Linked DNA regions of Mytilus edulis. The protein of the gene in region 2 interacts with the protein of the main gene of each other region in a pairwise test. Links are inferred from orthologs where the notes say so. Each region holds a gene or a part of one and is shown on either strand. Other genes may lie near its edges.

Region 1 (7,200 bases), on a different chromosome or scaffold from region 2:
CTTCTATTAATATAAACATAAAAACTATGTTTTGATTCTGTATTTCCACTAATATAGATCCATGGCACCACTCAAATATATCAACCTCGCTGCATATACACTATATATGTATATACCAGTCACCCAGTCAGGAACCTCTTAGTGTATGCAGAGACATACATATACACATGTGTATATATGTCTCTGGTGTAATAGTCCCAGAGTTAAGTAACTTTAACCTATAAATTGAAACAATGCTTATACATGGAAATATATACATTAATCAAGAAGATCTAACCAAAAGTATGTTAATGCGTGTGGAATGCGTAATTTTCCCTTTTGGGATCAATTTTTGTCTGTCAGCAGTGCCATTCATGCGTCTGTAGTCATTATCGCAAGAATCCGGATTTCGGTCATAGCGGGTCCGTTTCTGATGAAATCCTGATTTCGATCCGTAGTTCTACAAATTTAAATGTCGGACGAAGAAAAATTTACAAAAATAAACGATGTTTGATACGCTATTTGGAAAGGAATATGACGTTTCTAATGCAATACATGGATGACAAGTTTACTTGAGGCTAATTTCATCAAGTTCTGATGAAGTAATAACTGATTTTGCCGAAAGTTAGAATGATTTGATGTACGCTCTCGTGTAACAAGTATGAAAAGCATGCCCCCAGCTTAAAAATCTTTTAGAAGAAAATATATCGTGTATGCCTTGAATTTCTTTACTTTTAAATGCAAATTGCTCTTTCATTGACTTGGTAAAAATTAAATATTACCGATAACGAAATTGACTGAAAGCGAGTATCGTGAACAACACATTTTATTTTTTTCTGAGCATTTCGTAACAGTCGGCGGGAAAAATAATAATAAAAGTAAGAAGCACTACTTTTGTTTTTATTCTAAAATCGGGAAAGGTGGAGTCAGCGGATCTCGTTAAACAGATATTAAAAAAAGTCTGGCCTTATCACTTTTCTATTGTGTCGTCAGATATTTTCTATTATGACAAGTATGACATCAAAATTTTATGGAAACTTTAGAGGTACCTAGAAATGCACAAAATAGCGATTAGCAAAATATGATTAGGAAATAGTTCATGGGGCTTGAATTTAGACTGATTTTACAATGGGTTTGCCCTTTATGCTAAATATTTTACCAAGTGGGACAGCAAGGGGTAAAACATCAGCATAAAGGGAAAACATGTGGTAAAATCAGTATAAATTCAAGCCCCCATGAATTATTTCTATTCTATAAATAGGGCAAATACAACATTTTTTGTTATCGATGCGCATTAGGTGAAGGGAAATATTTGCTGGTCCTGTAAATAAACGCACTATTAATTTGACGTAAAAGTGTGTATAATTACGTCATCTTTTCATGACGTCGGGTCATACCTGCCAACTTTTGAAAATGGCCATGGGGGTTTTTGTGCGCGGCACCATTTTTGAGGGTAGAATTTTTCGCGGCATTTTTTCGTGTGTTGATTTGGCTCCTAAAAGTGTCTGACATACTTCTTTTTTGGGGGGTGATAGTTGAAGATGCTATTATAACCTATCTTTTTTTAAATTGTTTGATTGTTGTATTCTTTTTGTTGAGATAAACACCAGTAAGATGACTTTATGTTTGTCTGATACATTGTCAAGAAATAAAAAAAAAGTAATATTTTAATAATTTAATAACAAAAAAAACAACAATATATGAGGGTCTGGAAATGGGGGGGGGGGGGGGGGGGGACTGTTGTTCTGTAAACATTTAATTTTCACCCCTTTTTTCTCTAATCTTCAAAAAATTAACCTCTTTTTTTTCTAATCTTCAAAAAATTTGACCACGCATTTCTCCAATTTTTTTTTGCCCGTTATTCCCTTATCTTCATTTTTTAAGGGCATTATATTCTTTAATCATTTAACCCCATCCAAACCCTCATATATTATATAGATCAATATCACAAGCAGTACTAGAATGTTTGGAGACATCATTAAGGCCACCGTGGTCAACTTTAAAGTCTCTATTGCAAACTTTACAAAAGGCATGTGACAATCCTAACGTTGATTTAGACAACCAGCCCCTGTACTTGACATCATTCTCCCATTTCTCTAAGTATTTGCACGAAGCAACACGCTTTTTTTTCTTAGGCCGTGACAGAACTATTTTGCAAGTGATAACTCGCCCATCATGATTCCAATTTTTATAAATTTGACACCCAAGCTAAAAAAAAAAAAACAACTCAAAATTTCAATTCTTTGATTGTTTACTATGCCGACATTAATCAACTGGTGAATGCGTGATCACTAAATTTTGATTGGATGAAATTTGTCAGACACGATTTGTCTCCCTTGGGAAAACTTTTAAAAGTTCAAAATCGGGAACAAAAATATTTTTCGTGTAAATTTTACTAAAATCGTGTTTTTTGGCTATTTTCAAGATCACGATCGTGTAATCGGGACAGAGGGTCAAAATCGTGTAGTAAACGCCTAAATCGTGAAAGTTGGCAGGTATGTCGGGTATCTCATTCATAAAAAAGCTTATGACGTGCGAGTATGATCCAAACAGCCCAAACAATATATTTCTATTATATTAATATTATCAGCAGTGTGTACTCACAGGGTTAGATTAACGTCATGTTAGAATTTAAGGTGTATAAACTATGATGCCTGTGGCTGTGACTGCATGATATAATTTATGTTGTAAATAGACCAAATGTATGCCATCTCATTTGGAGTATGGTGGTGCATTGAGAATATTGCAGATGTTTATTTTCTTATTTGAAAAGGCATTGTTTTCGTGAAAGTAGAATCGTTAAAAAAAGATGTCTGGTTTGTGAAAAATTTTGTTGTAAAACCGTAAACAGAAATGGGCGATTTGTGCGTTTTATTGCGACTGGATTTTCATTATGACCATCAACACAGTACATTATGACATTTTTAACTATGACATAAGATTTTCTAAATATCAATTAAATATATCATAGTAAACACAGAACATTACATTCTATTTTCTTCTACGAGATAATTATTCTTCATTCTCCATTTATATGCGTTCTACGTCATCATTTCCGTTGTACATATCGTGGTTTTTATAAGTAGTTTTAGCGGGAAATTATGAATTGAAGTTTAAAGTTAACTATATTATAATATAAATTTATATATGAGACAATATCTGAAAAAGTCTAATTTTTGGAAATAAGAAAAAACAACTTTTTTTTTTTAGACCCAGTATTTTAATAGCACAAATCGAAGAACACACATTGGGGATCTAGGAACTGTTGTCTGTAATTCAAACAATTGTTTAATAAGGAAACAATGGCTATTTTAAAAATGATACAAACAAATCCAGTTCTTTCCTGTTACCAAAGTGAATCAATTTAAAAAAGTTTCTAATGGGAATAAGGAATAAGTTTAAGACACTATTTGTGGTTTACTAGTATATCCTGCAACAGTTTATCAAATGCCAATTATTGATTATGCATTTGCAATACAAAAGGTTTAGAAATATACGTAAATATAGTCAGATATGTCGGTAACATGAAAGAATCTTGAGTAACAGCACAACGGTAACAGGACAGAGTTGGTAACAGAAAGGATTTTTCTGCTTTACTTTAATGTTTAAGAAAAATACATCATTTTAAATTGGTTACAATTGGAAGATAACAGCAAACGATGTCATTTATCCTTTGAAACTGTATTTGCAAGATGAAAAATCTGCCTAGGTAATGAAAAATTCTAAAATAAATTCCTTTCTGTTACTATCTACTATACTAGAATTGCACAATGTTCTCTGCTGTTATCAAAAGCAAAAAACCTAATTTTTAATTCAATATACTGTATATTATTTTGAAATTTATTTAATATGGTGGTGATAACTTATATTAAATGAAATGGTTGGCATATAGTAGATTAACTTTTCGATTCTTCAGTAAAATTGTCTTGAACATCCTTCCTGTTACTGATGATGGTTATGCTGTTACTTTTTATCAGGTAACATGACAGAACGTAACAGAAAGGAATTACGCGATAGTTTTTGTCCTTTTTATCACATTAAATGTAAGTGTATTTCCTGTGACATATAACTTTTAAAAAGATGATATAAAAACACACTTAATGCTGTGGTGCACACTTAAAAATATTCTCAGAAAGTGTAAGAAAAGGCTGTAACAGGATAGAACACCAATAAGTATTTTTCTATAAATTCTTACCTTGGATATGGGCTTGAATTTTCAAACCTGGCCGCCTTTCCAACTATTTCTTTGTACTAATGCATTCAGGAAATGATGCTCTTCACAATTCATAATGGGAAAATAACTCTTGGTCTTGTAAACGTTTCCACAGGTAAAAAAAACACAGTGGTAACAGGAGGGAAATCACCCTTGGGGACAAATTTTTTTTTCTGTTAAAATTTGCAAAATTTTATTACATGCTATAGTTATAACATAAAAAGACAAATTAGGGGCAAGTTTATTATATAATATATCATATATGTGAGAATCGGACGCCTGTTTAATTAATTTGGATATTATTTGAATGATTTAGTTTTCAAAAAAACACAGGGGACAACATGATTTTAGGGGGGGTTGAACATTTAAATTACAATATTTTATTGGAAGAAATATAAGAATGAGTGTTTAATTGGCAGGCCATGGTGCATTATATAATTTAGTTTATACTGAAACTTAAAATTTTCAAAAAAGATGGTCGAATAAAAAAATAATTGCTGGTGAAGTGGGAGACATGGAAATTAGACTTTTTCAGATATTGTCTCATATATACTGTAGAAACACTAATTTCCGTGGGGTTAAAATTTCGCGTTTTTGTGTGTTAATAAGATTTCATTGGGATTTAATTTCGTGGATTCCAATAAATGGAATATATATATATAATTGTTAAATTTTCATGGACTCCATATATATATATAAATGGAGAATGAAGAATATATATATATATATATATGACAAGTACACACCCGTGATATCGCGGGTCCGTGACTGAATTAAAGTATATAACTATGCCTAAGCCTTATTTAAGTAATTAGTATTGTCATCTGATAAAGGCATGTCGGTTATAAATACAAAGTTTTCTCTGCTTTCAAATCTTTCTGTTTGAACCCGTCGATCTGGAACTTATCAATTATTGGTAATATTAATTATTTGGAAAACAAAGGTCCTGGCTATCCAGGAATGAGGGCCCTCATGGGGTTTTTGATTATGTGATTACTTGGCCGTTTTTTTAATGATTATTTGATTATTAAGCCAAATATTTCATGATTATTTGATTACCTAGGACTGTATTTTTAGTTTATGATTATTTGATTACTAAAGATAAGCAAATATTTAATGATTATGTGATTATATTGGCAAAAAAATGGTGATTATGTGATTACTAGGACCCCCCATGAGGGGCCTCAGGAATGGAGTATTGTTTAATCAACAGCATTGTCCTATATTAGTTATCTTAGAAAGTCTTGCTGATTGCTGAATAAAACTATAATAGGGAACAATTTGACAATGATTGAATTTAGTAGTGTCCCTTTGATTATGACCCGTGTATATAGCAAAATCCTAAATACACCGTTTGGTGGTGCGCCTGTCAAATGCGGAACGTACAGATAAGGTAATAGCTAACAGGTGAATATACTATTGGTATTGGTATCGGATTCGACCCGGAACTTGTTAATTATTGGCAATATTAATTATGTGGAAAACAAAAGGGTCTGGAGTGGTGTAATTTTTAATCTACACCATTGTCCTATATTAGTTATATATAGAGTTGAATTCTTTGATTTGTCGTTTTTACCCGATGACGGCTGACAAATTGGACCTCGTAATTTTAGTATTATAGATATATTCTTTCCACGAAATAAACGAAATTAAATCCTCCACGAAAATATCCGCTTCTACAGTATATGTAGACGACGATTTCTCATTATACTTAGACTGACTTTAAAACTCAATGACTTGTCTTAAAAGCTTAAAATTCTAGGATGATATTTGAAAAAAAGGCAGGACAGGATTTTGAGTTAAAAAAAAAAAGGGCAGGATGAGTAACTTGGCAAACAAAAAAGGCAGGATGACAATTGTTGTAAAAAAGTCAGGATAAGCTAAGAAAAAAAGACAGGACCGAATAGACTGAAAAATAAAAAGGCAGGACAGAGATTACAACTAAAAAAAAAAAGGCAGGACACAATTTTTTATCCTAGCCCCCCCATAAAAATCAAATAGTAGCTCCCTTAGAACAGGGTATGATTTGGCAAGTGCTGTCAGCACAGTCATAACCGAAATGGGTAGCCAGTATACCCCCACCCGCGGTCTTATCTTGCTTATTTTCTGCTAATTACCACCATGCATGCTTTACGTGCTACATTTTGTGCTGTTTGATTTATTGCATGTTTATATGTTGTATTGTTATGAATGTTAGATATCCTTGCTTGTATACTATGCCGACTCCAAATAAAGCTTATTCTTTTATTATTTATGAACCCGATCGAGACAGGATATCTGGAACATAATAGTATTGACATAATAGAGCATAATAGTCCCAGATGATAAACATATGCTAATGCAGATAACTGATCTCTGATTGTATGTGCAGGTAAACACTTTTTTTTTTGTATTCAGTATAGAAAAGATAAGATCAGATCAGATAAGATGCTAAGAAAACTCTATTTTGACTCGGCATTTATTTTTAAAATAAATATACATAGATTTTTACCGGATATAAAAAAAAAAGAGACATGTACACAATCTCTCAGTGGTTGAACTTGTTTAAGCACATATTTGAAACCAGCATGATAAACATAGGTGGATCCAGGGGGCCTGGGCCCCCTTTCGTTGAAAAAAATTGGTTGATTATATATTAGGGAATCACTAACGCATGACTGGATCCCCCTACCCCTTAGGTCAGTATAAGCGCCCCTTTATAAAAAGTTCTGAATCCGCCACTGATACAATAGTAAAATGGTCCACTGGAATAAACACTATGAAAGCTTGATTTGAAAACAAGTAAAAATCGCGATTACACTTTTTTCTATAAATAAAAGAAGTTCATCAATTACATGTATCAAAAAAATTTATGAGCCACTTTAGACATGAAAAATCCTACAGATAAAGATCTGCGAGATATCTGGGATATATTTTTGGTAGGCACAACAACATCAGAAACGACATTTTTTTTAGTGTAGTTTTAAAGAAATTGCTAAATTTAAAACAAGTTGCTTTCTTTAAAAAAA
Region 2 (7,619 bases):
AATACATAGATGGATTCAGCTTTTCAAAGAACCTCATAAAATCATAAAATCATTTTAAAATCGCGATGACATTATCGAATGCAAAATAGCATTCCTTATTGCTTGTTATAAATTCAATTCTTCAATGAATTCTCATAAAAATATTTCTTTTAGACTGTGACATAAATTAATAATATGAAAATGTTCTGTCGTTCGAAATATATATATCAGTAGAAATTCATTAATATCTATGCACACGTACAGAAAAATTTGTTAACCATGCGGAATAATATCTCAAGAACGTTTTGGGGGAAATATGAATGCCTACTCAAATCCCGCGATCTATTTAAAATAAAGAATTATTACAGAAGAGTGGCACCATTCACTTGCACTGCACAATCATTAGAATAGTAGAAAAGAATGATATACAAATGGATGAAAATTATATATTCATGTTTTACTGTTATACTAGTATACAAATATTAATATAATATATAACAACAAACCAGAGTATACTTATTTGTATCGCTACAACTTTAATAGTTATAACGGTGAGATTGAATTCTCTGTCATTTATTCATCATCAATGCACGCACGAACTTGTCTCAGATTTTTAAAAAAATTTATTATACCTCACTTTCAGGTATACAGATGTGATTTTTTTTTTAGACAAGTGTGACCATCAACAAGAACTTGCAGTCATCCGATGTTCAGTATTTCAGTACTTTCATTAATCTTTCTTCTAATGACTCTGTTAGAGCAGTTTGCGTAAGGAGCTCACTCCTTCATGCGCGAGCATAACGTACCATACGACGGAGCAGAGGACTAAACAATATATAGAGAATATATGTTATTTTTGCCCGAGTGATTTAGATCTTTTATTTAATTCATGATATATTTTTTTTTCACTGACCCCATCACTCATAATATTTGATTTAAGTGGATTTTTTTTTTATCTTACATTGATCTTTTGATGTCATCCTTTAATCAACTCATTGCCGTTTCATCTGAAACTGTGAACATATATTTGTTCCGCATAATACTTGTTCCCCCTGGAACAAAACTATGGATAACAAAAGTTACATAATATTAATTCCACCTTCATAAGATATTTTCCTGGAACTAAAATATCATATGGTTTCATAATATTTGTTCCTCTAAAAAAGAGTGTCATTTGATTTTTATGCCCCACCTACGATAGTAGAGGGGCATTATGTTTTTTGGTCTGTGCGTCCGTTCGTCCGTCCGTCCGTCCGTCTGTTCGTCCGTCTTTCCCGCTTCAGGTTAAAGTTTTTGGTCAAGGTAGTTTTTGATGAAGTTGAAGTCCAATCGACTTCAAACTTAGTACACATGTTCCCTATGATATGACCTTTTTAATTTTAATGCCAAATTAGAGTTTTTACTCCAATTTCACTGAACATGGAAAATGATAGTGCGAGTGGGGCATTCGTGTACTGAGGACACATTCTTGTTTACACCTGATTAGATCTGAATTAACCGGCTTGGAATCTGAACTTAATTGATCTATGTTTATATTAGTTGTACTTGCATCATTCCTTTTAATAATATCTATAGATATTGTAATAATAGTTAAATTTAAAATTTATTTCTTGTCCTGCACATGTATAATGGGGGGGGGGGGGGGGGGGGGGGGGGGGGAGGGGTCCCGATCCCGAAATCCTGGGTTTAAAACACAAAATCCCGAGGACCCTAATTCAAATAATTCAAGTTAATCCCGACATCCCGAAATTCGAAAAAAAAATAATCCCGGATTCCGAAAGGGTCAATCCCGAAATTCCGAGCTTAAAAATACCCGATCCCGTAGTCCCGATAAAAGTCATATCCCGGTCCCCTCTCTAAGAGTAAATCATTGATATTTGACAGATATTAAATACAAATATTTTATTAGCACAAACTCATCAACAATAAATGGTTAAGGCTCATGGTATATCAATTACATAGTTGGTCAAACATAATAAGTATTACAAATAATGAGTATATTAATATGTAATATTATAAACAATGATTATGAATTAGACATTTTGACAATTTTATGGAGTTTGTTCTGCTTTACGCAGGTTCAAACTGTCTGAAATGAAAGAGGACGTCAATTTTAGGATTGTGTATGAATTATTATTTAATAAAAAGATTATATTATTTTCATGTTTTTTTAATTTTGTAGAATCAACGATTATATTTGAAACTTTTGATAAAATATGGCCCTTTTAGTTGAGTATTTTTCACAATGTAAAAGAAAATGGTTTTCATTTTCAATTTGACCAGAGTTACATACAGAGCAGTATCTCTCATTTCTGGGAATATTTAAATGTCTCCCTCTTTCAATCATCAGCATATGAGCGCTTATACGGATCTTACATATTGCAGCTCTGTCACTTCTGATTTTCAATATATCAACATAGGGTGGTCTTCTGTCCATTATGTAGACACTCTTGAAAAAGTCTAACTTTTTTTATTCAAATATATTTGCATTTTGAACTTGCAAACATTGGTCATTAATTCTTTGTTTAATAGAAGTTAAATTACCTTTAACATAATTAAAGTTATTGGTGATATAAGACATTCCAAGTCCATTCAAAAGACTCTTGACCTTTATGACCCAAGGGTTTGAATCTACAGATTTAGTGAATATATCATATGCCAAAGAATTTTCCGAAGAAATTATATGGTTCAGGTAGTTGAATATTGAATATAATATTTTATTATTCAAGGGAATTCTATTAAGTTCGGCTCGACATCCATCATTAGATGCCTTACAGTGAACCCCTAATATGTCTTTGATAAATTTAACATGAAGTTTTTCAAAGGGATCAGAGTCTTTAAAATGTGAATCCATCCCCCAAATTTCACTACAATATGTAAGAATGGGAGTAACTAAACAATCAAACAATTTTTCAAGAAGTCTACATGGGTTGTTGAGACCTATAGTTTTCTTTATCTTATAATATGCCTTCCTGGCTTTTTCCATGAGAGTATTCACAGCAAGGCAAAAATTGCCATTATACTTTAAAACAATAACCAAGTAACAATAATTTGTTACCGTTTCAAGATATGCATTATCATAAGTAAAATGGTTTAACAATGTTTTGCCATTAGAATTAAATATCATAATTTTTTATTTATCAGTATTAACTTGTAGTTTCCATGACGAACAATATTCATGTAAAATATCAAGAGATTTTTGTAGACCCTCTTCGCTTTCAGATAGTAAAACAATATCATCTGCATATAAAAGAATGTTCAAAGAGGTATCTCCAATGGCAACTGGATCCGTATGTTTGTTATCAAGATTACCTACTAGTTCATTTATAAAATAGTTAAAAAGAAGGGGACTCAATACGTCACCTTGTTTAACATCCCTTTCTGGTAGGAATGGAGGACTGAAACCATTAGGGAATTTTATTCTACATACTGTATCAGTATACATTGAATAAATAACATTAAACATTTTTTGGGGGATATTATGTTTTATGAGTTTAGAAAATAAACCTAGTCCATAGGCGGATCCAGGGGGCCCGGGCCCCCCCTTTCGTGGGAAAAATTTGGTTGATTATATAGGGAATCATTGAAGCATGACTGGAGCGGGCCCCCTCTTAGGTCAGTCAGCGGCCCCCCCCCCCCCTTTAGGAAAAGTTCTGGATCCGCCACTGTTAAGTCGCCATACAGTATCAAATGCCCTTTTTAAGTCTATGAAGGCAGCAACAAAAAATTTCCAAGTTTTTTTGTCTATATTGATCAGTTATGGTCTTAAGAGTGAATATGTGGTCAGCTGTACGACTTTTCTCTTTAAAACCTATTTGATTTTTACTTATTAAATTTTTGATATCCATAAATGTTACTAAACGTTTACATGGTTTATATAAAACTTTATTAAAAAGTTTACCCAGGTTGGAACTAATAGATATACCTCTATAGTTCCCTGATCAAATTTGTCCCCTTTCTTATGCAAGAGAACAAGACTAGTAAGCTTTCATTCCATAATCTCGGAAGTTGACCAGATTCGAATATGCTATTAAAGAGTTTATGAAGTGGTTTTATTTAAAAAAATAGGGATTGCATTTTTCAACATTTCATTGGAAATCATGTCGGCTGATATGCTTTTGCCATTTTTTTTCAAACGAATAGCTGTTACTATCTCTTCAATTGTTATCTCTGAACTCAAGTGAGTTAAGTCATCCGTAACATGTGATAAATTAAACTGTTCTTTTAGAGAGTCAAAATCTTTAATAATTTTAGAGTGAAAACTATTGTGATTTATGTCACAGCTATTCAATTTTGTTATAAAACTGGATGAAATCTTCTTGTGGTACAGATTCATTTTCTTTGTTATTACTTTTTTGTCTACTTAATTTATTCAAAATGTTCCAAAACATCTTTTCAAGAGACATACAAAATATGTCTCTGATATTTGTCACGGTACCAAAAAGTGAAATAACAAAAATAACCTAACTGCAGAAATTTAAAAAAACCAGACAGTTCTTTGATCCTTATAACAAAACCAGAAGAGTTACTATCATATATCCTGATTCAGGACTATGTAAACCGTTTTTTAAATCTGATTTTGTTTTTTATGTGCCCATTCCGATCCTTATTAGCAGAGAAACAAAGAAATGCATTCTCATTGAAGGTTAAAGGTAAGACTTCGGTGGTCGTTTTTGAGTTATTAGAAGTGGACTACTCTTATTTAAAAGAAATTTTACGTTTAAAATGACAAAAACATTGTATGTTCTTTGAAGAAATTGAAATTTTGACCACAGTAATTCCGATTTGGGGGATACAATTTGGCACACAGGGTGTCCCCGTTATGTGCGCAAATTTTGACAAAATTAGGACTCACTGCGCACACTGCATGTGCAATTCTTCGTAGTTTTTACGGACGTCAAATCCAATATTTTATCATTTTAAGATTCATATATTTAGTATTCTAATGTATTTGTAAATATTTTATTCACATATCACCAAAAATTCACCATTCGTGAGGTAAGTTTACATCAAAAAATTGATATTTTACAGTGAAATTATGAACCGGTATTTTTCCTCGTGTGTTCAGACATGGCTTCCGTGATTATTTTCACTTTCTGATATACATTTTGTAAGCGTTTGAATGTTTAACCTTTTTGTGAAAATTATCCTTGATCCTTTGACATAACTTATGAAACACTTTATTGTCAGATTTGGAGAAATTCTTGTACAGAATTTTGAGGTTTATTGCCATGAAACAAATTATTTTGTAGTGTTGCCATGAAACTATTTTAGTAAAGGTATATCATTATATCTAAAGAATATTTTCATACTGACTGAAATTGATTAATAAAGTCTTCTCTTGTTTTGTTAAAAGTTAATCTTGAAATTAATTTTCAGATTTAGTAACTTTTATTTTGTTGGATAGTTTACTTTCACATAATTTGGTGCATTTTCTAGAACATTCTGATGTCAATAACAGAAAATATAAGGAAAAAAAGCGTTTGTTCCGGGATAAGTTAGTAACCGAAATGTAGGGATTGTCACTTCCAACATATATCGAGGGATGAGGCAAATAAATGTTGATCTTATAGTTATAATTTATACTGCACAAAATATTTTCGAAATTTAACAAGTTGGTCACCTTCCCAAAGTTGTACGGAAATGAAAATCCTGTACTTACAGAACATCAATTATTAACAGACTACCCTGCAGAATGGCGATTCCGAAAGTGCTTGAACTTTTAATTAGGCAGGGATACAATTGTGCCTTCTAAGTTCTATCTGGCAAATGACATCATAAAGGCTTAAGAAATTGATGATCTTTTCTGGTAGAAAGACATTCGAGGAAGTGGCATATTGTTCAGTGATGTCTTGTAAACTAATGATGAATTCACTGGGTTCAACAGGCATAACCAATTATGATTTTTTTAATTTAAATATGGTTTAATCATGTGCTTCTTATTCTGCCTTCATGTTCGCAACTTTTAAAAAAGTGTCTGTTTTTATTTAATATATTCCTCTGTTTGTGCTTAATTTCCTACAACAGGTTATTATTCTTTGTATAATCACCAAACATGGGGTTTGTTCCCATCTTTAAACAGACATGACTCGTATTATAAAATAATTGAAATGGTCTGTTCTTGTGCTGTATAAATGAAATTTTTTATTTAAATTTATATCAATTTTATTTCTTATACATGTAGCATAGATTTTTTTTTCTATGATTGCTCTGATAAGTTTTGTGTGCCAGCATTTAATTTTTCTCCATAAATATTTTGAGTGAAAACTGATAGAACAAACAGTATTGTCACCATGATGGGAGAGTAGTGGACAGAACAGGATTACATTATTGTATTTAGAGATTACAAGGATGAATGAACAAATGTAGGGGTATTCATTAACAAAACATATCATCATGCCAACAACAAAAATAACCAAAAAGACTTCACCAGTTGTCCTGGTATTAAAACCTCCTTGACTCCTAAGTGAGCCCATGATTCACCTGTTCACAGTTCAAGTTCATAGAAAGAACACAAATATTTGACACATTAAAGTTATAGAAGTACAGCAACATTTAAAATTTATTCTTTGATAACATTTTCTAAATATTATTGTACATGTAGTAATTTTAAGCTGCAGTAGGTAAATTGTGTAAGGTTATGTCAGATAATTAAAATGAAAAAGACCTGAAATAATGAAAAAATTCTCTTAATTTTATAAATTGTATTTTTCAGATTACTTAATAATACAAAGTCATGGTTATGGAAACCCCAAGTCCACAGTGCGTTGGCCGTGAATTCGTTAGGCAATACTATACCTTGCTAAACGAGGCCCCACTGCATCTTCACAGGTAAATATCCAAGTGCAGATCTAACAATTCGGCTTTTGTAGACCACAATGTCCTTAATAAAAAAAAACAACATCAATTCCAATGAAAATGCATATGACCTGTCACCAAGAAAAGAGGATTACAGACAAATTTCCGTTGGTGAACAAATTTCTACCATGCCATACGAAAGATTGTTTTGATCCATTTGTAAAAAAAATGGCATGTAATTTTTTCAGGTTCTACATCATTTCAGATGTCAATTCTCAAAAGAAATAACCAGTCTTTGAAAACTTAGTTGTGTCTGACAAATCACTTGATTTTTATTAATATGCAAACAAAGCAGACATTCTGAGCATGTTAATACACTGCAGTTGTCAAGGTTGGATCATTATCAGTTGACTTAGGCTGATCAAAAGGAATTTACAAGTATGGTCATGATCACCAAATTTCTTCAAAGAGATCAGACAAACAGTACACCTGGAAAGGTTCAAGGCATGGCTTGACCCAGATTTATAACTGGTATTAGTGTTTCCTGCAGCTTTTAAAAAGGGCAGGGTAATTGTTAGCTCAGAGGGCACATTAAGCGCGATAGACAATAACTTTAGGGCACTTACTTAACATAAACAGGCAATTTCTATAAAATGGATTCATTTAAAAAATACTAGTTTAATGACCTCTTAATAGTTATTGTTCAAAATATATACATGTAACAGACTTCTTTCTGGGTCTATCATATTCTTGATGTGGGACCACATTGAAAAAAAATGTTGGTTTGCCAAAGCCAGAGTTCCATAAAAAAAGATCAGGGTGATAGGTTTTTTTTTTTTTTA

Evidence for each region. The genes of interacting proteins can lie anywhere in the genome.
Region 1: the proteins of ras GTPase-activating protein-binding protein 2-like (region 2) and E3 ubiquitin-protein ligase SIAH1-like interact in a two-hybrid assay, tested with the Drosophila melanogaster proteins (2 studies listed by BioGRID). The link is inferred for Mytilus edulis from reciprocal best matches to the Drosophila melanogaster genes rin and sina.

The regions. Positions count from the first base shown.
Region 1 is NC_092350.1:59,087,681-59,094,880, forward strand, and holds the start of E3 ubiquitin-protein ligase SIAH1-like, read right to left. Parts: upstream 3,049-7,200; 5' UTR 2,968-3,048; intron 1-2,967. UniProt on the Drosophila melanogaster protein: E3 ubiquitin-protein ligase that is required for specification of R7 photoreceptor cell fate in the eye by mediating the ubiquitination and subsequent proteasomal degradation of Tramtrack (ttk).
Region 2 is NC_092352.1:25,710,462-25,718,080, reverse strand, and holds the start of ras GTPase-activating protein-binding protein 2-like, read left to right. Parts: upstream 1-4,520; 5' UTR 4,521-4,631; intron 4,632-4,633; exon of another isoform or gene 4,634-4,977; intron 4,978-5,024; exon of another isoform or gene 5,025-5,089; intron 5,090-6,694; 5' UTR 6,695-6,715; coding exon 6,716-6,810; exon of another isoform or gene 6,811-7,308; intron 7,309-7,619.